4 linked regions of the Caenorhabditis elegans genome follow. The protein of the gene in region 4 purifies or fractionates together with the protein of the main gene of each other region. This does not show direct contact. Each region holds a gene or a part of one and is shown on either strand. Other genes may lie near its edges.

The links.
Region 1: the proteins of bcat-1 (region 4) and gst-42 fractionate together in Caenorhabditis elegans (co-fractionation; one large-scale study listed by BioGRID). This does not show direct contact.
Region 2: the proteins of bcat-1 (region 4) and semo-1 fractionate together in Caenorhabditis elegans (co-fractionation; one large-scale study listed by BioGRID). This does not show direct contact.
Region 3: the proteins of bcat-1 (region 4) and F35D11.4 fractionate together in Caenorhabditis elegans (co-fractionation; one large-scale study listed by BioGRID). This does not show direct contact.

What each region holds. Positions count from the first base shown.
Region 1 is NC_003284.9:11,725,350-11,729,731, reverse strand, and holds gst-42 (putative maleylacetoacetate isomerase), read left to right. Parts: upstream 1-1,795; 5' UTR 1,796-1,935; coding exon 1,936-2,002; intron 2,003-2,052; coding exon 2,053-2,117; intron 2,118-2,161; coding exon 2,162-2,335; intron 2,336-2,426; coding exon 2,427-2,507; intron 2,508-2,556; coding exon 2,557-2,693; intron 2,694-3,117; coding exon 3,118-3,238; 3' UTR 3,239-3,468; downstream 3,469-4,382. Other genes in the region: D1053.2 (Histone-lysine N-methyltransferase, H3 lysine-79 specific), read right to left, coding at 989-991, 1,066-1,172, 1,227-1,581.
Region 2 is NC_003282.8:14,049,214-14,057,668, reverse strand, and holds semo-1 (Methanethiol oxidase), read right to left. Parts: upstream 6,470-8,455; 5' UTR 6,448-6,469; coding exon 6,274-6,447; intron 6,175-6,273; exon of another isoform or gene 6,154-6,174; intron 5,876-6,153; exon of another isoform or gene 5,855-5,875; intron 5,834-5,854; coding exon 5,736-5,833; intron 5,721-5,735; exon of another isoform or gene 5,700-5,720; intron 5,674-5,699; exon of another isoform or gene 5,652-5,673; intron 5,395-5,651; exon of another isoform or gene 5,374-5,394; intron 5,302-5,373; exon of another isoform or gene 5,277-5,301; intron 5,209-5,276; coding exon 4,838-5,208; intron 4,761-4,837; exon of another isoform or gene 4,740-4,760; intron 4,686-4,739; coding exon 4,483-4,685; exon of another isoform or gene 4,018-4,482; intron 3,933-4,017; exon of another isoform or gene 3,908-3,932; intron 3,845-3,907; exon of another isoform or gene 3,824-3,844; intron 3,698-3,823; exon of another isoform or gene 3,677-3,697; intron 3,501-3,676; exon of another isoform or gene 3,479-3,500; intron 3,361-3,478; exon of another isoform or gene 3,340-3,360; intron 3,175-3,339; exon of another isoform or gene 3,154-3,174; intron 3,137-3,153; exon of another isoform or gene 3,116-3,136; intron 2,874-3,115; exon of another isoform or gene 2,853-2,873; and 20 more.
Region 3 is NC_003280.10:4,601,503-4,605,195, reverse strand, and holds F35D11.4 (CYTH domain-containing protein), read right to left. Parts: upstream 1,770-3,693; 5' UTR 1,763-1,769; coding exon 1,665-1,762; intron 1,608-1,664; coding exon 1,538-1,607; intron 1,487-1,537; coding exon 1,130-1,486; 3' UTR 1,035-1,129; downstream 1-1,034. Other genes in the region: coa-3 (Cytochrome c oxidase assembly factor 3), read left to right, coding at 2,563-2,679, 3,318-3,404, 3,461-3,658.
Region 4 is NC_003284.9:12,875,639-12,881,380, reverse strand, and holds bcat-1 (Branched-chain-amino-acid aminotransferase, cytosolic), read right to left. Parts: upstream 3,902-5,742; 5' UTR 3,888-3,901; coding exon 3,750-3,887; intron 3,704-3,749; coding exon 3,515-3,703; intron 3,292-3,514; exon of another isoform or gene 3,159-3,291; intron 2,896-3,158; coding exon 2,764-2,895; intron 2,543-2,763; coding exon 2,423-2,542; intron 2,371-2,422; coding exon 1,744-2,370; intron 1,678-1,743; coding exon 1,636-1,677; 3' UTR 1,053-1,635; downstream 1-1,052. UniProt on the Caenorhabditis elegans protein: Catalyzes the first reaction in the catabolism of the essential branched chain amino acids leucine, isoleucine, and valine.

The sequences.
Region 1 (4,382 bases), 1.1 Mb from region 4:
TCTAGTCAGCTCCCCGAACCTCCCGGTAATTTTGAAATGTATGTTTCCAGTGAACTTGTGATATTGATGATAATTGGATTTTATAACAGTAGTTTGTGTATTTGTGTTTTATTAATTTTTGAGATTGGAATAAATAATTTGTAAATAAACATTTTCTCCACTATTACATTTTTGGATGAAATCTTAACTAAAAGAGGGATTCAAAAACAATTTGAAAATAGCATTTCGATGCTTGAAATGTGTAAAATTTTGCGCGGTAGTTCACTGTATTAATATTTTACAAGACTAAAAAAATCCATTAATCACTTTTTGCATATTACTTTACAGTCCAATTAGAAGAAAAGCTCAATACCAACTAATGAATAACCTAATGGAACATACTTTTTTCAAGAGTTTGTTGTATACTGTGAAGTTACAGCGTAGACATTGTTGAAGCAGCCAGACGGATGACATAGGATTGATCACTGAAAAATGACAGATTATCAAAAGACCAGTTTTTAGAACCAGCTTCATCCCAATCCCTAGTCGACTGATCTTTACCTCTCTTGCGTTTCGACTGATTCAGGTCAGAAATAGAAATGTCGTTGATGGGAACTTTTTTGAGAATACTCAATGGACAAATCGATGACGGATTTTAGGATCACAACGACGAGGGATTCAGAGACTTGCGAGGACAGCAGAGAACGGACAGACTAACATGGAAGGACATTTTGAAACGTTTTATAAATAGGACGGTTGATTTAAAAACAACAATTTATTGGACCAACTTGAGTGATAGTACAGATTGCAAGAAGTTGGTTTTTTAAATCATAAACGTGCTACATTGACGCACTGAGAAGAGACTGAGGGGAAAACAAAGGAGATGAAAGATCTATAGGGAGTGAAGGGGAGATCTTAAATAGAAAATACACCGGAAAATCAGAAGTTGACCCGAGCACGAAGACACGTTGATGAGAGAGGAGTTGGGAAGAAGAAAGGGCGTCGACGATCACTGTAAAAAGTTAATTAATATTAGTTCTGATTTTAACCCATAACCGCAAATATTTCTCATATTCACGAACTTACCTTATTGCGGTTGATCTCAGTGAGATAAAACGGAACTTTGTCACCAGTCCAAGACGTATTGTTTTCCACAAGATGAAGAAGACGCTCGTCCGTGATTTTCACAAAATCTGAAAAAGATATAATTAGTATTTTGATGTACCTAACACCTAGTTTCAACTTACCATCGATACGACGAGAAGTCGAGCTTTGAGAACGGGGACGTGGAACAATCGACTCTGATGAAATGATCCGCGTTCCGTCAATGCATTTCGACAAGATCTCTTTCAGCTCCAACTTGAGCTCCGGCGAAAAACGAACGTTGTTCACCACAATCACCGTGGCTTGGGTCTGGATCTCATTAATACGATCCACCAGATATGCTTTTAATGAACGTGTCTCAACGTCGTTTAAATTGAAAAATAGTTCCTGGATGCTCTCAATTTCATTTAAGCACATCAAAGTGCACTGTGTATTTTTATATTGTCTTTGAAAAAATGACTTGGGTACAGCTTGGGCAAGAGTTGGGAGCAGCCTCATAAAAAAAGTCGTGGGCTGCTTGTTCTCTCAAGGCATCGCCCAAGGCTTACCATAGTTTTGTCTACTTCTTCTTATTCCTTCTAATGTTTTTTGAATCTGCATTTCTCTCTTGGTCTACATATGATGTTGGTAATGTATAGTAGAAGACCACGTGTGTCTGCACAATTACACTATCTCTAGTGTTCTGCGTCTGCAATATACAACAACAAAACCATTTCGTCGACATACACCGTCCAATCTTATCAGTTAGTTCGACATCATTCCGTCTTTGACCCTTTTTGTTTATTTTTCAACTAGTCATTATCATCAGTTATTCTTTCTGAGAATTTACAAAATTATTTTCTGCTTGTAGACATGTCCAACCAAAAGCCAGTTCTGTATTCTTATTGGAGATCATCGTGCTCATGGAGAGTTCGCATCGGTTGGTATTTTAATTATATCAATTTTAACTAGCAAAAATGTTATTTTCAGCGCTTGCTTTGAAAAACGTGGACTACGAATACAAAACTGTCGACTTGCTGTCCGAAGAGGCTAAGGTAAGAGAAAATCAAGCGGTTCTTTAAATTATTTTAAAATTTAGAGCAAACTGAAAGAAATCAACCCAGCTGCAAAAGTACCAACATTTGTTGTGGATGGTCAAGTAATTACTGAAAGTCTTGCGATTATTGAGTATTTGGAAGAAACGCATCCAGACGTTCCACTTTTGCCAAAAGATCCAATCAAGAGAGCTCACGCTAGAGCTATTTCTCTTTTGGTAAGTTTTACGTATTTAGTTGGTTTTTTTCTTAACTTTATACTGCTATTGTTTTACAAAAACTGTAACAATTATGTTTTGAGGTTTACAGGTTGCTTCTGGAATTCAACCTCTTCACAATTTGAAGGTTCTTCAACTTTTGAATAAAAAAGAAGCAGGATTCGGAGGACAGGTTTAATTTCAGAATCTTCAATGTATGTTTTCAATTTTTAAAATTTCAGTTTGCCAAACAGTTTGTTGTCGAAGGTCTCACTGCTCTTGAAATTCTTCTAAAGCAACATTCTGGGAAGTATGCTGTCGGAGATGACGTCACGATTGCGGATCTCTCCATCCCGCCACTTATCTACTCAGCTAACCGGTATGATTATAGGGAGGGTCAGGGAATTTTGGACATAGATAACTTTTTGAGAAAATTTATTATGTTTTAGTAATCTATCCAGAATTTCAATGTATTAGTTTGACATTTTGCGTATTCAAAACCTCGAAAATTTGAACACCTTTTGGGTTACCCTCAAACAACACTGACCAATTTTTCATAGACAGTTACTGAATCATCTTAGCAAGTGATTTAAACGAAAACACATTCCTATTGAAAACAACATCCACTTGTGTGGCAACAACCTTTTTATCGGATTCCTGATTCAAACAAAATGTATTAGTCATTCAACAAACATGAATTGGAAGCGATGAGCGTTTAGGATGAGACATGAGAGATTCACAGATAACCATCAGAATAACCTCCCTTCCAAATCGTTCCGATCGCAATCAAACCGTCATTTCAGATTCAACCTCGATTTGTCGCCATACCCAACAGTGAATCGTATCAATGAGACTCTTGCTGATATCCCCGCCTTTATTGCCGCTCATCCTGATAATCAACCAGATACCGGACTCAATGCTTAGATTCTTATGAATGATTGCGTTATTGGATTGGACATACAAGAGTTAACTATTTGAGAATTAAAAAAAAATGTTTCTTTGTCTCTTAAATTAGCACAAAAGTAATAATAAATTTACAACAGAAAATGTCCGCGATATCCTAAAGCAAGTTGCTTTTTTTAACTTTGTAAACTAACTTTTCTCGTTTTCATACTGAGTGTTTTTTTTTCAAATAAATTAATTTCTTAAAAATATTTTGAACTTTATTCAAACGAAATATCCAATGGAAAATTTTTTAGTATGCGAGTTCCACTGATAACTTTTTTGCGTTCAAAAAAAATGTCCTGCTTTGAAGACAGAATTTTTGATGTTTACCTATTTAGAAGTATGTTTCGAAATTCAAGTTAAACAGTTGCAGACCGGAAGCCTCCAAAAGTCATTTTTTTGTCCTCCTCTTCATGACCAAACTCAATCCCTGGGGATTAGCATCTGAAAACCCAATCGGCAATGTTGTGTCATGGAAACTTTTAGAGAACTTTCGGAAGACTTCCGTGCAAAGAGAACGTGTTTTTACGGGCGAGGTTGGCATAGTCATAGTACTAGTTGGTTGCCACCCACAACACAAGCCGGCCTTTCGATTCATCAAAGTATCCGTTTTTTTCACTCTTCTCCTCCCGCATTCTCCCCCTCTTTTCTTTGTCAGTGTGGTCTGCAAAGTTCAATTTCCAACTTTTCTCATTTTCTCTATCTCTGGCTCGCTCTTCGCAGCTCCTTTTCTGCTTTTTTTGTCTTTATGCAACCAGAATCAAGAGGAAAAGAGTGACGAATTAGGTTTAATAAAGGGTGATGTTTGACAACTTTGTCAAAGTGTATACCTCCCGTTGTCAAGGCATTTTTAAGTTACGCCTGCACTGATAAAAATGCTATATATAAAAGAAAACACAACACATTTATTGATTTGAACATCAAATTATTTTGGAATCATTTTGTCAAGTGAAGTTACAAATTATTTGTACAATAAATTTCAAGTGTGCAATACTTCTCTCTTTTTCAATTGCTGGACAATACTTATGATTCATACTTTTCTCATAGTGTGAAATAAAAATGACGTTGGTTTGAAGTGAAAAGTTAACATTATTGAGAATCGGTTTTGTTGAGAAACTGTTGA
Region 2 (8,455 bases), on a different chromosome or scaffold from region 4:
TATTGTCTTTCATTTTAAAAATTCATTTAAAAACAAAAATAAAATTTCTGGGCATTTAGTTCGAGTGATCATCTTTTTTGAGTTTTCATTTTTGAGATATTCAGAAAAGTTGTAGGTCATTTGAATTTATTGTCTTTCATTTTAAAAATTCATTTAAAAACAAAAATAAAATTTCTGGGCATTTAGTTCGAGTGATCATCTTTTTTGAGTTTTCATTTTTGAGATATTCAGAAAAGTTGTAGGTCATTTGAATTTATTGTCTTTCATTTTAAAAATTCATTTAAAAACAAAAATAAAATTTCTGGGCATTTAGTTCGAGTGATCATCTTTTTTGAGTTTTCATTTTTGAGATATTCAGAAAAGTTGTAGGTCATTTGAATTTATTGTCTTTCATTTTAAAAATTCATTTAAAAACAAAAATAAAATTTCTGGGCATTTAGTTCGAGTGATCATCTTTTTTGAGTTTTCATTTTTGAGATATTCAGAAAAGTTGTAGGTCATTTGAATCAAATGTCTTTCATTTTTAAAACTTATAAACACACAGTGAAACTGAAAATAATTTTGTTTTTGAAAAGGATTATTTGGAAAGGTGACAAAACTGTTTTGAAAACAATTAATTTTGGCTCAGACGGGTTTAGTTTGCAGGAACTTTGTTAGTTTTCCACTACTGTCTATTCATATAATGAACTGAACAAAAAATCAAAAATGAAAAAGACAATCGATAAAAGGAGCCAGTTTTTATTGAGGAGAATTCCGGATGTTCATATATTTTCTTCCTACTTTCTAATCCATAATTTTTTTGTGCAATTCTACTAAATTCCCGTGATTTCAACTCGCCACATTCTTTGTACCATATATGATGATTGCTTCGTTCACATTACAAAAATCCCCTTTTTTCAATATTTATTCGCCTGGTTTCCCCCGTTTTTCTAGTTGCATCATGAGTTGAAAAATCCTTTCAATTTTTTTTTGAAAATCTGAATGAATTGTGATGAATATGTACAAGCTAATTTTTTATGCAAAACATTTTAAAAAAAACCAAATTAAATCCAAATATCCGATGTACAATCTCCACCGGGATAACGCATCTCGTGAGCCAAATAGGGACCTCCTTCAATTTTTCCAAAATCGATCAAAAAGTCTCGATTTATTTCCATTTTTCCAGATTCTGGATCAATGTTGACTTGAACCATTGTGGCGCCAGATCTGAAAAATGACAGGGTTGCAAACGCGCTCCATTGAGAAAGTAGGACGAATTTGGTGTTTTTTTTTTGAAATTATCATGAATTATTAAGCGGACGAAAAGAAACATTACCAAGTCTCGACGTGACTATTTTTTCAACGGAAAACGTGTGTGCGCCTTTAAAGAGTAGTGTAATTTCAAACTTTCGGTGCTGCAGCTATTGAACTGTTTTATCGATTTCTCATAGTTGTTCTTTTTTTTAAAAATTATTTAGACTAGAAAAACAAAGAAAAACATGAATTCGTGATAAAATCAACTCAGCAAGTGAGAGAGAATCGCTGCAAATATGAAAGATTTTTGAAACGGTGATTTTTTTTCTAAACAATAATTTCACCATGAGCGTATTTTTAGTGTAAACTACAAAATTCGAGATAATTTGTTTCGTAAGGACAAAGGTTCAATGAATAAAATGAATAAAAAAGAATTACATTTCGCGAATAGCCCCACAAGTGAGCGGAAATAGTTTGCTCAAAATATACTACATTTATGAAACGGTAACTTTTTTCTCAGAAATAATTCTAAATTTTTTCATAAGTAGCACTCACTTGACATGTTCTGGATAGAATTGATCATCCCATTTCTTGTATAAAGAAGTTGTAACATAAAGTCTCTTTCCATCCAATGACAACTGTAACATCTGTGGACCTCCTTCAATTTTCCGTCCCTTCACATAAAGTGCTTCAATTGGTTTTTCACCTTCTAGAACTTTTACATTTGATTCCGTATGTACACTTCCTCCAATATAAACTTGAGAATTCAATTTCACCTTCAATGGATCAGAAATGTCATATTGACGAATATCTCCATGAAGCCAACACGAGACATACAGGAAACGATCATCCATTGAGATAAGGATATCAGTTATAAGAGCTGGCATTTCTGGAAGAGCCCATCCACTTACTTTTTTAGAAGGAATGAAGGCAACGAGAGTAGCTGCATGGGTTGTTGAGTTCTGGAATTATTTGAAAAATTGAATGTTTCTCATTCAACGTATCACTGAAGATTTGTTTTCAGTAGTATTCAACAAACATTTGGCAACTATTTTCATACTGACTATCAGAATTTTGAGATTTTACAAGAAAAAAAATACAAAGTGTGTTAAAAGAACACCTCGAGAACAGGAAAGAAGCAACTTTTCTGAAAAACTTTATTTTCAAAAAGAGGTTATCGCGAACTGTCGAAATAAGTGTAGGTATATGCGCTGCCAAAATTATATTAACTTTTTGAAACAGTAAATTTTATGTTTTTTTGTAATTTTGCCTGAAAAGTTGGTGGCCATTCACAAAAAATAAATTTTTTGATCGAGCTTTTTTGTTTCAAGGGCACACTGCTGAAGTGGATATAATTTTATTTAAAACGTAATTTTTGTTTTCAAAAGTTTACACGAAAATCTACTGTTTCAACAAACTCATTTAACATCTCGCTAGAAAATTGTTTTCAATTGAACTGTGGCGTGACTTATCGACTGTTCTAAAAGAGCTTTAAAAATCATGAGACATTTAATGTTTCGATTGGCTGATTAAATGTTTCAAGTTGAACAAGGTGTCAATTTTTTAAAATTATATGTTTCAGATGATCTAGAAAACCCGGTGAGATTTCTAATTGTCACTCGAACTTGATTTCCAGTGAGACTATACTTTGCACAGAAAGGAATTTTTGTTTCGCAGCAATGCAGCAGAAGCAGAGATAATTTTACTTAAATCTGAAATCGGTTTTTTTTTCAAAAATTTAATAAAAAAGTCTATAACTCATTAAACATCTTACTTGAAAATTATTTGATTGCATTGACATTGCTAGAAAAACTAACAAAATCATAAAATTTTTAATGTTTCAATTAGCTGATTAAACGTTTTGGTTTGAATAAAGTTTCACTGAGACTATAATGTCCGCGCTTTAAAATTATTTTTTAGTGTCGAAAAAAAAATATTTTTTCTTTCTTTAATTGACCGAGTTTTCTTGATTCACAGTCACGCAGAAAAAATCGATTTGAACTTTTTGTCAAAACTAAATGCATGCTGCTTTTTAAAAAAAGGTTCATCAAAAATCTACTGTTTCACTAACCTAATTTTAAAAAACTCGGAAAAATACGTTTTTAGTATTTGCATCATTGTTAAACGTTTAATGAATCTATAAACTGATTTAAAAATAAATTATTAAAAACACTCAAAGATATTTTTTAAAAATTATTATATGTTTCAAGTAGTCTATAAATACTGAAACTATTTTGAATTAATATTGGTTCTTCCAAATGAAAAAAAAGAAAAATAGCAGTTTGGTCTACACAACTTTCTCTGAATTTCAAATTCAAATTATGCCCTAATCATGTATGCCAAAGCATTAAAGGATTTGAAATGTACGAAAGCGCTCTGATTTTCTCAAAATGTCCACATTTTTCTCGAAAGTTAGTCATTTTGCCAAAGAACTTGCTCAGAAAACTTCGGGAATGAAAAAAAATCAATTGAATAGAACGGAAGTTTTGATAACAACGTATTGAAACAATTTATTTATTTTTAAACTTGAAAGTTTCTAATGCAATGTTTCGGTGATCCCAGAAAGTTACACATCAGCTTACAACACTGCTATTCAATTACTGACAACGAAAATATCAGTACTATTGATAAATTGTCAACTCCCCCTACGAAGATCATTTATATTTGATTTCATACGTTTTTTTGGATTAGCAAATGAAATAAACTTCCAATAAGATACAATATGATAACCTATTGAAACAGTTTTCTAAAAGTTTTCTAAAAATTCTTTTCAATATTACTCACCTCCTCAACAGGATGAATTCTAAAAACCGGATCTATTTCAATAGATGACAGGAATACCAACAGAACTAAACTAAAAACAACAGAGTGTGTTATGAGGACAAATTGAAACTGAAAAGTTTTTTGAATGTTTCAATGTTTTCGTAAAATCACGGCATTGATCTCCAAAACTGTTTAACCATTTTCAATTGACTGAAACTTTTGAAAAATCAAACACTCTACTGAAGAGTTTTCATGGAATAAAATTTGAGTACTCTGGAAGAAGCAACAGTTTTGGAAACTTTGCTACCTCCCAATCAAGGATGTGCGGCAGTTCTCAAAATTTTCCGAGCTCGGCAAATTAGTTTTACAATAATTTTAATCTTGATTCTATTCTACGGTTTTAACATATTAATCTCAGTTTCTAAACAAATAATAACTTATTGAAACATTTCAATTTTTCTGAAAATTCTATTGAATATTACTCACCTCCTCAACAGGATGAATTCTAAAAATTCCTGATCCAAGAGCACATCCCACAAAAGCGTGCTCACTGGTTGGCTCATGGAGGAATCGAACTTCAAGTGGAAGTGCTCCAAGTGGCTGTGGTAGATCAATTGTTTGAAGATATTTCTTAGAGTCCCATTCGAAAATATGAACACTGTTTCCGTAGAGACCCTCTCCGACGTGAGCTGGAAAATTTCATGTTTTAAAAAAATTTGTAACTTTTTGGTTTTTAGTGATGCTGATGGCTCATGCCGCAAGGAATAATTTTAATTTTTGGTAAAATGAAACAAGAGGTGTTGAAACAGTGATTTTTTAAAAGTATTTTCAGTTTTCCCACCTGGATTAAATCCCTTTTTAATATGATTCGGTGATCCCCATTCCGTAGAAATCATCACATTTCTCCTTGGCTGGTACCAGAAATCATAGTTAAACGGAACAGTCTTCTCGTCAGCTGGCCATGTTCCTTTCGGCTCAAATGTCTTTCCATCCAACAACAAAAAGTTACCAGATGGAGTTCCATTAGCTTCTCCCAAAGTACTAATCATAATATTTCCATCGGCAAGACAATGTGAAGTATGTGGAAATGAAAGGTTTAGAGAATGAAGTTTTGATGGTTCAATTGTATGTTCAAGATAGATTTTACGCTCATTTTCTACGTTGATAATGTAGATACGGTCAGAGTTCAGGCAAGGAACGATCAAATGGGATCTGAAATTATTTAGAAATTATTCTACTGTTTTGGTTTGTTAATGAAAGTTCTCCGATCTAAAAATTTATTGATCTTTCAGTTGACTGAAATGTGAAGTTTGTAAATTCGAATTAAAAAACTGTTTCAAGAAATTGGTTCAAGTCTAACTAAATTTATAAAAATGATCTTCTCGTGAATGTCGCTCTGATCTGATTTTATTACAAAGCTTTTGCATCCGTATCAAGGGTCGTGGAAAAATTTAGGTTTATCAGTTTTTTCTTGAGAAAATCTAAAAATCAGAAAAACAAACAAGGGAGAATCTATAGATTTATCAAATATATGATGATTTTGTTTGAAGAATAAAAAAAAACATGTTATTGTGACCACTTTTTAAAAAAAAAAAGTCGGAAAACCACACTTCAAAAATGAAAATTTAATTAAAAAAATTTTTAAACAAAACTTGATGTTTCGAACAGTTGATTTAATTTTGCCACCTGTACTAATAGAGTAATAGTATCATCCTAAAACAATAAATATTTTAACTAACCTCTTCTCAGTTGGTTTGTCATGACAAGAAGAGCACGCATTCCATCCAGTATGATGGACTTCATCACCAATATGTGGCACATCAACTCGGCTGATCACCTGAAAATATTAATTTTACTGGAAAATGTTATGATTGATCGATCTCTAAATGCTAAAACTACGAGTGGATATCAATATTTTGAAACCGATAATTTTTTCAATTAAATAATAATTTTTAATTTTTACTATACAATCATATATCGTGCAAATCGATTTAAAACTCTTAAGCTTGAGATAACCTTGAAATCAGAGAGATCAAATCAAAGTTTCCTGATTTATTTTTGGCTGATGCAACAGAGATGAAAATTGCAAAATTGCAATTTTATTCCGGTAATTTGAACAATTTTTCTGATATAGAAACAGTTATTTCAAGCTTTATGGACGTGATCTACAAAAGACAATCAAAAAATTAGTTATTCCTAAAACTCAATACGTCTTTTTGAAACAGTATTTTTTTCCTCCAAACAAGAAAAAAAATCAACTTTACAAATAAAATTTACCTGACAAAAAGTGTCACTCTCTGGATTCACATCAACTGTAAAAATGGCATCAGGACCATCAGCTGCATTTGGAGCAGTCACAAATAAAACTTCTTCTCGTGGTCCTTTTATAGCATCAGCTGGAGATGCATATCCTGGACCACCATGACATTTTAAACCACAGTTTGGGGACATTTTGGTTTTTGGGATTTTTGATCTGCAAATATTGACTTTTTTTTAAAATCAAACAATATAATCAAATCAGTAGTATGGATTAAAAAGTTACATACATACAATTTTTTGCTGAATTAAACTATAGCAAAATTAAATTTTTTTCAAGTTTGACACTATTTTTGTAGCTTTGAAAACAAGTTGCACGAAAACTTTTGGGCAAACATTTTTAGCTTCAGAAAAAATTACTTTTTTTGTCACAGCTCTAAAAAGGGGAATGTAAAAATTAAAAAAAAAATACAGCGAAAATTTGTAAGTTAAAAAACTAACGCGGATGTAGCAAAACCAAAAAAAACTGAAAAATGTGAAACTTATAAACACACAGTGAAACTGAAAATAATTTTGTTTTTGAAAAGGATTATTTGGAAAGGTGACAAAACTGTTTTGAAAACAATTAATTTTGGCTCAGACGGGTTTAGTTTGCAGGAACTTTGTCAGTTTTCCACTACTCTCTATTTATATAACGAACTGAACACAAAAATCAAAAATGAAAAAGACAATCGACAACAGAAGGGGATGACATTGATAAGGTATCACTAGCTGTTCTATGTCTTATCTCTAGCAGTCATCAAGATGATTGTTCAATGAACCAACTAGAAATCTACTAGAAACACGTAGGAAATTATTCTGATACAAACTACAAGTACCGTTTCTGGTTGAGATTAATTTTTGAATTTAGAGATGAATTTGTGAACATTGTGTGACTGATTCAAAGTGCACAGATATTTTGATAACATTTTTTTTTAATTTTGGAAAACCGATCTGACTACAAAACGTGAATTTATTTGAAATTGAAAATAGTGAGTTTTTTCGTTTTTAATTTATCTTCTGATACTAGGCTTAACAGAAAAATAATAAACAATTATTCAGGGTTGTGCGCGCGACAAATTCCAAAATTTGAAGGACAAAATTATTGATGAAGATGGGATCAACTGTAAATTATTGAAAATCTCCATGAGGATTCCTTGAAACAGTAAAAAAATGTATCGCGAATATAGCAAATTTTTAGAAAAACTCAGCTTGGGTTAATTAAATTTGCAAATTTCTTATTACGTTTTCCACTAATAAAAAGGTTTAAACAACAATTTTATTTATTTTTTATTTATTTTAGGTGCTGCAAACGGCAAACGGCAAATGTCACTCGCTAAAAAAAATTGGTCGACGATGAAAAAAAAACTTTCGGCGTCTTTCAGCATGCGAAATTTTTTTTATTTTTATTTTTTTTTTATTATTGGAAATATAAACAAATTTGAATATTAAGTTGTTCATATTTCCTCATGAGAACAGTCATTCAAATCCACCTTAAGCATAAAAATCTCCACAAATATATGGGGAAATTACAGTTAATATTGCTACATGTTAATACTGTTACAATACTAATAGAAAACTCATACCAATAGTAAAATGAGGCATGTTATCAATCTTTCATTTGAATTTTATTGGATTTTCACATTGCTTCTCATTGTATTATATAAAATTTATTGAAACGCCTAATGAAGTTTTAGTGAAATAGTTAAACATTTTTTTGCAAACTTTAAGCAAACGTAAGCCGTTAATAGCTTAACTGTTAACTGGTGCAATTTTGCTTAAATTTGCAGTTTTGAAGTTTTTCTACAATCGGTAAATTTATTCACATTTCAAGTTAGTCTCGATTTGAAATGCAAGTTGAGCGCTTTTAATATGTTTTTTTCACATAAAATTTAATATTGGGGTTTTTTTCAATTTTTCCGATTTTTTAAAAACAATCAATTTTCAAAATTTCTAAGTCAAAATTTCTAATCAAGACAAATTTGGTTACAATTTTTTAAAACATTTTTTGCAAAAATTTTGGCACGGTGAAGTACGGTGTTTCAAAAAAAAGTATACAAAACAGTGAAGCAAGCAAAAGTCTGTGAATTAGACAGAAATGAAAATTTAAAAATACATAAAACTGAAGCGCAACGGTGGGAAATTTGTAAACCGCCTAATAAAA
Region 3 (3,693 bases), on a different chromosome or scaffold from region 4:
GAGCAAAGAAAGAGCAAAAACAACAATAAATAAGACATGCTCGAGTCTCACACAACACAACAACTCACATATTTGACTGATTTATGACACTTTTTTGCTCTTTTTAAAGAAATTTTACTACTCTTCGTGTTATTTAGGTTTTTTTTCCAAATGAAATGTTTTTTGCGAGTTGAAAATGTGCGAATTTATTGAAAAAAAATTTAAAATTTCTTTTCCAGGCTCGTAAATTTTTCGAACTTATTCTGTGGGTCTGCGCCTTTAAGTTTCGGGAACCGTAACCTCCTCTCAAAGGTGTGCGCCTTTAAAGAGTACAGTACCCTACAAAAATGTTTTAAAACAAAAAAGTTTCGGGAAATTCGATTTTTGTATTGGAATTCAAGAAAAACCACCAATTTTATATCTAAAACACAGAATTCTCAAATTTTAGCATTTTAAACGTAGAAATTCAGATTCAAGCTTGGTTTTTCAGACAATTTCAGTGTCATTCTGTCGTAATATTGGGGGCATTGGTTGTATTCGCGTACTTTTGGGGATACAGTACACAGATAATTGGAAAATTAGAAATCGCGGGAACGTGAATCAAAGCTGCACACAATTATTTAGGGTAAAACTAGTTAAAATAACATAAAAATAGTGAGAATTGATGAAAAAATATCTCTGAACTAAAATTTCCTCTTTATTTCTTTTCAAAAAGTCATAATCAACATCGGCATCAGTTATTCATTATTTGTTTCCGTTCTTTTTCCACTCTCCGGCTTCCAAATTCGCACATTAATCGAGTGAGTGAAGCGTTTTTCTCATTGTCTGAGCCTCTCTGTTTCAACGAAATTTTAGGAAAACGACAGAGAGAGACAGAGAGAGAGAGAAAAAAAATAAAATAAAATCGAAAAGCTGAAATGACATTTCTATTGATAAGGTTTTCGATAAAAGGAAGGAGAAAAATACAAAAAATGATGTCAGATTTTTGAAGTAATTGTTTTTTGTTGTTGTGGAGATTAGCGATTATGATCCTGCAAGATTAAATATAAAACTTTCTGATGCATAAACTTTTATGTATCCGCAATAACAACATATAACCGAGAGCTATTGAAAAAAAAAAAAATTCAAATTTAACAAATAATTGAAGCCTTCAAGCCTTCAACATATCCATATAGGCACCAGTGAGCAAATCGGTCTCTGGCACGGCGAGCAGCTCCCGAATCTCATGAGCTATCTTCTCTCCGTGCTCTGGAGTCTCTTCAGGCGACAGGCACACTTCCAACTCCATAAAATCACCGAGCCCATCGACGCGATCAATATGAATTCGTGTTTGACCGTGGAGCACCAGAGTTCTCGTCTTTTTCACCTCTCCTTTGACTCCCATTGAGGATTGGAGGGAGAGCTTCAGAGCATCAAGAACTTCAGATGGAACGTCGAATTTGTTGAAATTACTGAGCTTCGGGCCAGCCACGTCAGATCTATCGTACCAAATAAGCTCTGTGTGGGCCTGAAAAATCAAAATTTTAATTTTAAAGTAAAAAAGAAAACTATTATTTACCACTCCGTTCTCCTCAACGCTTCTCATCTTCAGGCGGCCATTCGGTGACTCGTAAAAGATGTCATGCTGCCTATAATAAAACATTTTTATGATTGATTTCCAATAAAACTATTCTGATTCAACTCACTTCAAGATAGTCGGCTGTTTTCCGGAAATTTCCACGGCGCGGCGAACCGTCTCATCGAGATTTTGAACTTTTGCCTTGATTTCCACGTTTCTCGACATCGTATTGCTGAAAAATGTCTTAATTAGTGGTGTATTTTGTAAATATAATCCACTTAAAAGGAAAAGGCTTCGAATAATTTCGAATAATTCGAGAAAAGAGTGATTTTGAATTCATTGTCACTGAAAACTGATAAAAAAGTTTGAGAGTTCAAACGCTCAAAAGTTCGCGGGCAACTGCGGCCGCGAGGGTTTTCTCGTCCACCTCGTGTGTACTCCTCTTGGAAGTAGCGCCAGGGAAACAAAAACAATGAAATGCTTTTTCGTCCTGCTTTTCCATCGGATTTCCTCGATTTGTACTGATTTTTTTAATTTTTTTTCCAATTATTCAATGAATTTAGTCAATTTATTTTTAAAAATGTTTGAATATTTACATTAAATCAGTGATTTTCTGTCCGAAGCTCATTTCACACGAGTGCGAGACTTCTAAAGCAAACATGCCCCCGAATTTGTTTCGTTTTCACGTTCGATACGCGGAAGTGAAAGAAAATTATTGATTTTTCTGTCAGAAAATTATAGGAATTATGAAATTCATGAAAAAAACCGAATACTTTCACCTTTTCCCTACACTTTTCTCCTCTAAAGATCGTGTCTTCTGATATAAAATGCCATTCACTCATCCATTTCTCCTCTTTCTTTTTATCCTTTTCATAAAGTTTTCAGTACACATTTCCCCATTTCATATGAAAATCAATATAAATCTCATGCCGCTGCTTCAAACATTTTCCCTTGATATTTGAACACCTTGTGATATTGACAACAATAATGCAATTTAATCGAAAAAAAAAATAAATAAATATCAGATGCTCGCTGTGCTCAATTGCCGGACACTGGCATTCCGAAGGCTTGTCAGCACGAGCCGTCTAGCTGCCACAAAGGAAAAATTGCCGACGGAGACGACGAAGTTCTCACAAATTGAAGTGAGTTTTTTTAAATTTTTTGGAGTGTTTTTTCGTCTGGAAAAGCCTAAAATTCGTGAAATTCATCGATCCAAGATTCGATTTTAGTTCAAAAAATCAACAAAAAAAAGTAAAGTTTGGAATATAATCTAAACAATTTTGCTCTGCCAGCTTCGCATCTGGTTTTGTTTTCCTTTAGTTTGGAGATAAATTTAGATTTAATTTAGTTTATATTTAAGTTGTAGAGTTTAGAGGTTATTTTTCTAGGCTTAAAAAATTATTTTTCAATTAATTTTTAAATTTTCGTGTTTTTTTTTTCAATTTTTTTTGTTGTAATATTCAGACAGTTTTTTTTGCAATTTCAGACTTTTTTTCCTTCAAAAAAATTTTCAAAATATTAAATAATCGATTTCCAGGCCAGTTTTGAAGTTTCAGCGAATATTTCAAGTTCTACAACTGAAAAAAAGACTTGATCCCCGAAAAAAACAGCTAAAACTCTGAAATTAGCCTAATAATCTATAATATACCATTTTCCAAGGATTTGTTAACGGAAAATGATTGAAAACCGTGAATTTATCCGGAAAAGCCGAAAATTTGCAAAAAAAGTGTTTTTTTTTTTTTTGGATACAAAATCTATAAAAAAAGCTAAATTTTTCCAGAAAAAGAAGGACAATGAGATGCTGGAAACAATCGATATTGAGGATCTACCACGACCACAGAAACGGTTCGCCAAGCAGTTTGAGAAGGTTTTTTTAAAATTAATTTTTTCCTCAATTTTCCTTAATTCTTTCCCAATTTCCAGGTGAATCAAGAGCGAGTCAAGGAGATTTTCGCGAAAAATTACAAGAATCACATCTCATTTGCCGTACTTTTGGGTGTTGTTATCGGAATCTACTGGTATACAATGTATTCTGTGAAACAGGAGACATTCCTCGAAGAAATCGACGAAGAAATGGCCGCTACGAATCCAAAAACTCATGGACATCTTGCCAAGAAATAGATCGATTTTTCGGATTTTTCCTTATTTTTTTGTTA
Region 4 (5,742 bases):
TTTTGGAATTGTCTTCTGTAGCTATCTGCGCTGATCACTTCGATCTAGCCAATTGGGTTTTTTTAGCATTGGCTTCACAAAAGACTGTCATTCTGAAATTTTTCAGTAGAATCGCACTCTTTTGTGAAGTTAAAGCTTTTTCCCGCAAAAATATACTTCTTAATTATTTTTTTTTCTACTTTCCTATGCATCTATAAACAATAATTTAAAACATCAGACGTTATTATGAAAGGACTTGGAAATGAATTTTTGAATCATATAAAAAAGTAAAAAATCAAAATGTTATAAAAAATCAAAAAAATGAATAACCCATGATTTTTAGAAACGGCTATTTACACGAGACAAACGGTCAAGATTATTGTGAGAATGTTCATTATTTGGAAAAAACGTATAAAAATGTTTGTATGTGAAAAATGCAACCAAAAATTTCATTTTTTCATAATTTTAATTGACAGGAAAATCGAAGGTAGTCTTTTTTCATCCATACTGTTCAGAATTGCCAGGTCTGTTAGAAAACACTAGGCAGAGTAGACTAGTTTTTACGAATGTTTTTAAAATAGTTTGATAAATGAAATATAAAGACTCCTTTTGATTTTACCGTCATCAAAAATTTTGAAAAAAAAACAGCTTCTGGACAAATATTGCAAATATTAAAAATAATTATTTTTTAGAAACTCGTGCATGTGGCACTACGATTTTCTAACATTTTTTATGATTATGGAAAATGGAAAACAAAATCTCAGTTTTTGCCACTATTTTGGAATTCATCGATCAAAATAAATTCCATCGAATTTTATGGTCTTCTTTTATTCCAACTATTACAATTCAAACATTGTAGAATTTGAATACGCTACATTCTCAAAGATTGGCAAATTCTCACCAGTTGCCACTTTTTGAAATAAAAATTTTTTAAATCAAACACAAAGTCGCTAAATATCTAATATAATATTTTTTGTAAGTGAAAGTTAGTAGTTTTCAACAAAACATTGTTTGAAAACTGATATCGTTCTTTATAGTTGTCTCTAAAAAATTTAAAAAATAGAAAAAAGTATAAAGTTTTCAACTTTTATTAAAAGAAGGTGTTTTGAATCAACAAACATGAAATGCAATCGAATAGCCATTTGAACTAACAACGACTTTCTCATATACATAAAAAAAATTATTCTAGATGATCATATGAGTATTTGACATGGTGAAGTGTAGCAGGAAGCATGATTTATAAACCGGGACACGAGCGCTTTTTGAGGGGGTGGAAGGAAGTTGGGAGGGGGATTGAAGAGAAGAAATTAAAAAAATACCATTTGAAATCGAATCAATAAATGTGTCTATAAAACTAGTTGTAGTTTTAGTGAAGGGGAATAAGGAGGCGAATGATCTAATCAACGCCGAGCTGACTTGTATACGTATTCTGATATGAACTCAGAAAATCGTTAGCTTAGCTCTTCGGAAAAGCTCATATAAGAAATCCAACTTCATAAGTTGTTCCCAGTTGCGTAGAGGAAAAAAAAACAAATTGAGGGGGAAGAGAAAACTCCGAGATTGTTGAACAGAACCCATCGTTAGTATTAAAAATGCAGTATTGAAGGAAGGATATTGAAAAGGTTTTGATGCAGAAGTGGAGTATTATATTGTGTATTAAATGTCGCGCATCCATCCGTCTTTGATAATTCGGCCGTACTGAAATAAAAAATTATTAGTTGAAATTTATTTTCAATAGGAGATAGCTGTCTTAAACAAGCTTACCTGAATGTCATTAATTGTGTTGTAGAATTTTTGCATAACTCCAAATTTGCTGGACATGGTTGGGATGTGAAGCTCCTCGTACTCATCGGTAACCTTGTTGTGGTAGAGAATCTTTCCGACTGGTGAAACAACGCAAGCAGTTCCTGATCCGAACATCTCGTAGAGTCTCTTCTCTGACAAAGCTTTCTTGACTTCTTCCATGTTCAGTGTGCGTTCAGTGACCTTGTACTCTCCCCATTCTCTCCCAAGCTCAAGAAGTGAGTCTCTGGTGACTCCTGGAAGGATGAGTCCACGATGAAGTGGTGGCGTGATCAATTCCATGTCGCCTTCCTCGTTCTTCCAGAACAAGAAAATGTTCATTGTTCCGACCTCTGTAAGATCTTCGTTCTCTCCATAAAGCCACAAAACTTGTTGGCAGTTTTTGCTGGCGGCCTCCTTTCCGACCCAGATTGTTGGGGCGTAGTTGCATCCCATCTTGTATGCGCCAACTCCTCCTGGGAAAGCACGGATGAAACGAGAATCAGCGAGCAAGCTGACTGGCTGGAATCCTGTAGAGTAGTAGGCTCCGACTGGTCCAGTGATAACGAACATCTTAGCTTCGGTGGCACATCCCACTCCAAGTGTTGGCTGAAAACAGTTGGTTTTACAGAGGAATTGTTTTTTTTGTGAATCAATTTACATCTGTTCCGATAAGTGTTGGACGCAAATACAATGAGCATACATCTGAATTTGGCACCCATTCTTGATCCAAACGAAGTAATTCGGTAAGTACATTGATCATCTCCTCTGAGTCGAAATCCTGCAATTTTTTGTTCATCTGATGTTTTTTTTTCATTCAGTAGTTTTCATGCGCTCAAGACGCTCAAACTAATTACTTCCCTCTCACATGCTTTCAGGAAAAATTGCACAAAAAGATGACTATCACTTAATTAGCTTTTCTCTTTTCTGAGAGCTTCTCCCTAGTTTTTTTCTTGTTTTTTGATATTTTTTCGTATATTTTACAACGCTAAAGTCAATTACCGGAAGTGCAGCACGGAGAGCAGTTCTCTTCATACGAGCCATGTTCATTTCTGGACGGAACATGCGAATCTTGTTGTCAATACCACGGTAGGCCTTCATTCCTTCGAAAAGCTCACTGGCGTAATGAAGAACCTGGAAGCAAAGCAAATGGATTAAAATTGTTAATTAGTTCCTAGTTGTTTTTTGTGGTTGTTTGATGTAACAAAACACAAAATCGTCGGTGATCTTTAGCTTCAAGATTGATAATTTCCAACAAGTGTCATGCTGTCATGTCAATCTCATTTTTTGGCTTCTGGTCGCTGAGAAAAGCTCAGATTCAACTGATTTTTTTCTAGTTTCGAGTTTTGTCCCCTACAAAAGTTTCAAAAGTTTCACATTTCTTCGTCTTTCTATCCCATATCAGATTTCACTGATCACAGAGAAGAGGTCACAGAGGTGAAAAAGACAGGTGACGGTGATTACATCATCTTTGAAAATCTTCAAAAGTTATCGCCCGCACAACGGATAGAAATGTGTGGCAGACCGGCGGGTAACAAAAAAAATGCAAAGCGAACTGCCACGTGCCGTTTATTAAAATGATTGACATTATTTTATGACCTTTTCTTGAATTTTTAATTTTTTTGTTCATGCTAATGCTTATCATTCAATAACGCTTATCACTAAAAAATCACACTTCAGGAACTAGTGCAAATATTCAATATTACCGTTGACCACTTATGGCGCCATTTTAAATTGATGGACAGTAACTTACTTTTGCTCCGGGATGAATTTTGAGCTCTCCAATTGGCTCAATCTTTGGATGATGCCATCCTCTCTCGGCATCCCAATCGCATGTCATCATGTAATCAGCGTATGTGTGTCCGAATTTAAGCTTTGTTGGGTCCAATGGCTTGGTCTTCAGTTGTGTTGGACCGGCGAGTTGAATTTCAAGGTCTCTGTGCTAAAAGCATTAACAGTTTAATCAATATTCAGACTATAAAACTAACATAGAAAGTCTTCTTTCTATCGTATTCCTTGTGAATTTCCTCTCTTGGTACTGTCTCCAATCTGGCTGCGGAGGCCATAAGCCTTGATCCGACAAGGTTGAAGGTGCGTGGAGCAACTCGCGACAGGATTGCTGGCATTATTGTGTGTATTTCTGGAACAGAAAATATTATTAAAGTTGATTCAGCGACCGTGGGAAATGAGAAAAGTGGACGATTGATAGCATGGAAATGATAATGATACGGGTGTTAATAAGAAACAAGATTAGTAAAGAAGGCCCAGGCAGGAAGTTGAGGCTTCACGTGTGGAAAAGGGGACAGGACACAATGTCCAGCTGCTATGCCGATGGAGGCAGTACATTTGGACTGGCGAACTGGCGCCATATATCAATAGAGTGTGAAGAAGTAGGAGGAGTAGAAAAAGGGGGCTGTGTGGCGGTGGTTTGTAGGCGCAAGGGACGTTGCCTTAGTAGAAAACATCTATCGCTCTCTATGTTTCTCGGTGCTTCTCGTCTATCTGAGCGATGGACGCTACGAGTTCAACAAATATTGAAAGAGGAGCAGAGAAATGAAGAAGCGGGGTAGAAAGCAGCAAATGGGCCCCCGTGGTGGCGGGCGCACGTGGGGAGAGCAGCGCGAACAAATGATGAGATGTTGTGAGGAGTGTGGCCGATGGGAGGGTAACGGCGGGGCAGTGTTGAGGGGCGGGAAGGCGTCGGCGACCGACCGATCGACCGCGGCCTCCCGTCAGGACGAGACCCCGCCCATCTCTTCCTGATCGGAAGACGAAAGCTTTTGACCCGGAGAAAGGCAAAAACAATTGGCAAAAAAAAGATAGTTGGGCTCTAGTCGCTACACGTCATTGGATTCTAGAGTTTCAGACCCACCTACTGGCTTAGACAAGAAAGTGTTGCAGGAAAAGAAGACTTCGTGTTTAATACGTAAAGAGTGTTATGTCTAAAAGTTGAAGGCTTTTTCACTGTACATTCTACTTCATCATTTCAAACTTTTTGTTTTTGAGCCTCGAAAGTATTGTAGAAAGTTTACGCATTTTTCAAAATTTCCTGCCTGAAACGTATCTCTCATCTGTCTTTTGAAAAATTTATATGACTCGGTAAATGAGAAAACTGACCCCTTTTTCACAGAACAAAAAAGTCTGAACCCCTTTCCTCTGACAAAAAGCATCAGATAGAAAGTGGAAAGACAAAACGAGGCTCTTGAAAACCTTGAGGTTTGTTAAAGCTCAAACAAAACCTTTCCGTCATCACAGTTTTAGCAGACCTGTGCTCGTAAAAAAACTTAGATCAAACAAACTGTGGCCACGTGAGCCATTTTTTTCTATTTGGACAGTTGAAGCTCTCAGCTGCTAAATGGGCTGATGAAGAAAGTAGCGAAAACTACAAATCTCGTAACAATTATATTTTAGGCCTCTAACCAAATATCTAATGTTCTTACAAGAGATAAGATTTTGTGGTAGTTATTTTGTGCTACAGAATCTTATCAAATGCTCGAACTATCTGAATTGAGTAGAGATGATTTGGCAGTAATGGAGTTCGATGAGTTTTAAATAAAAATTGAATCTGGCTTTCGAAATTCCTTATCAATGTCCTATTTTGTGATTAATAAACATCAAAGTCGGTCACTTCCGAGTTCAAAACCACTTTTTCGTCCCGTAAGTTTGTATTTTTAGTACCCGCAGGAAATGACGAGTTTGAAGACAATATCACCACGAGGATGACTGCACAATTCGACCGCAACCACGAGCTCCGCGTGGTTGCTAGTCAATGGTTGATGATCACACGAGATGGCTAGACGAATAACAAAACGAAACAGAGACCGTGAGAATGTTGTCCTTTCAATGCTGGGTGGCAGTGTGATGTGATAGCAGTTAAATGTTTCAACACCGTAATTCAGAGCAATGGTCACAACCAAACATCTTGCGGGAAAAGAGATTACATCATGTATGGTAACATCCTTGCAAGTAGAAGAGGCGAGA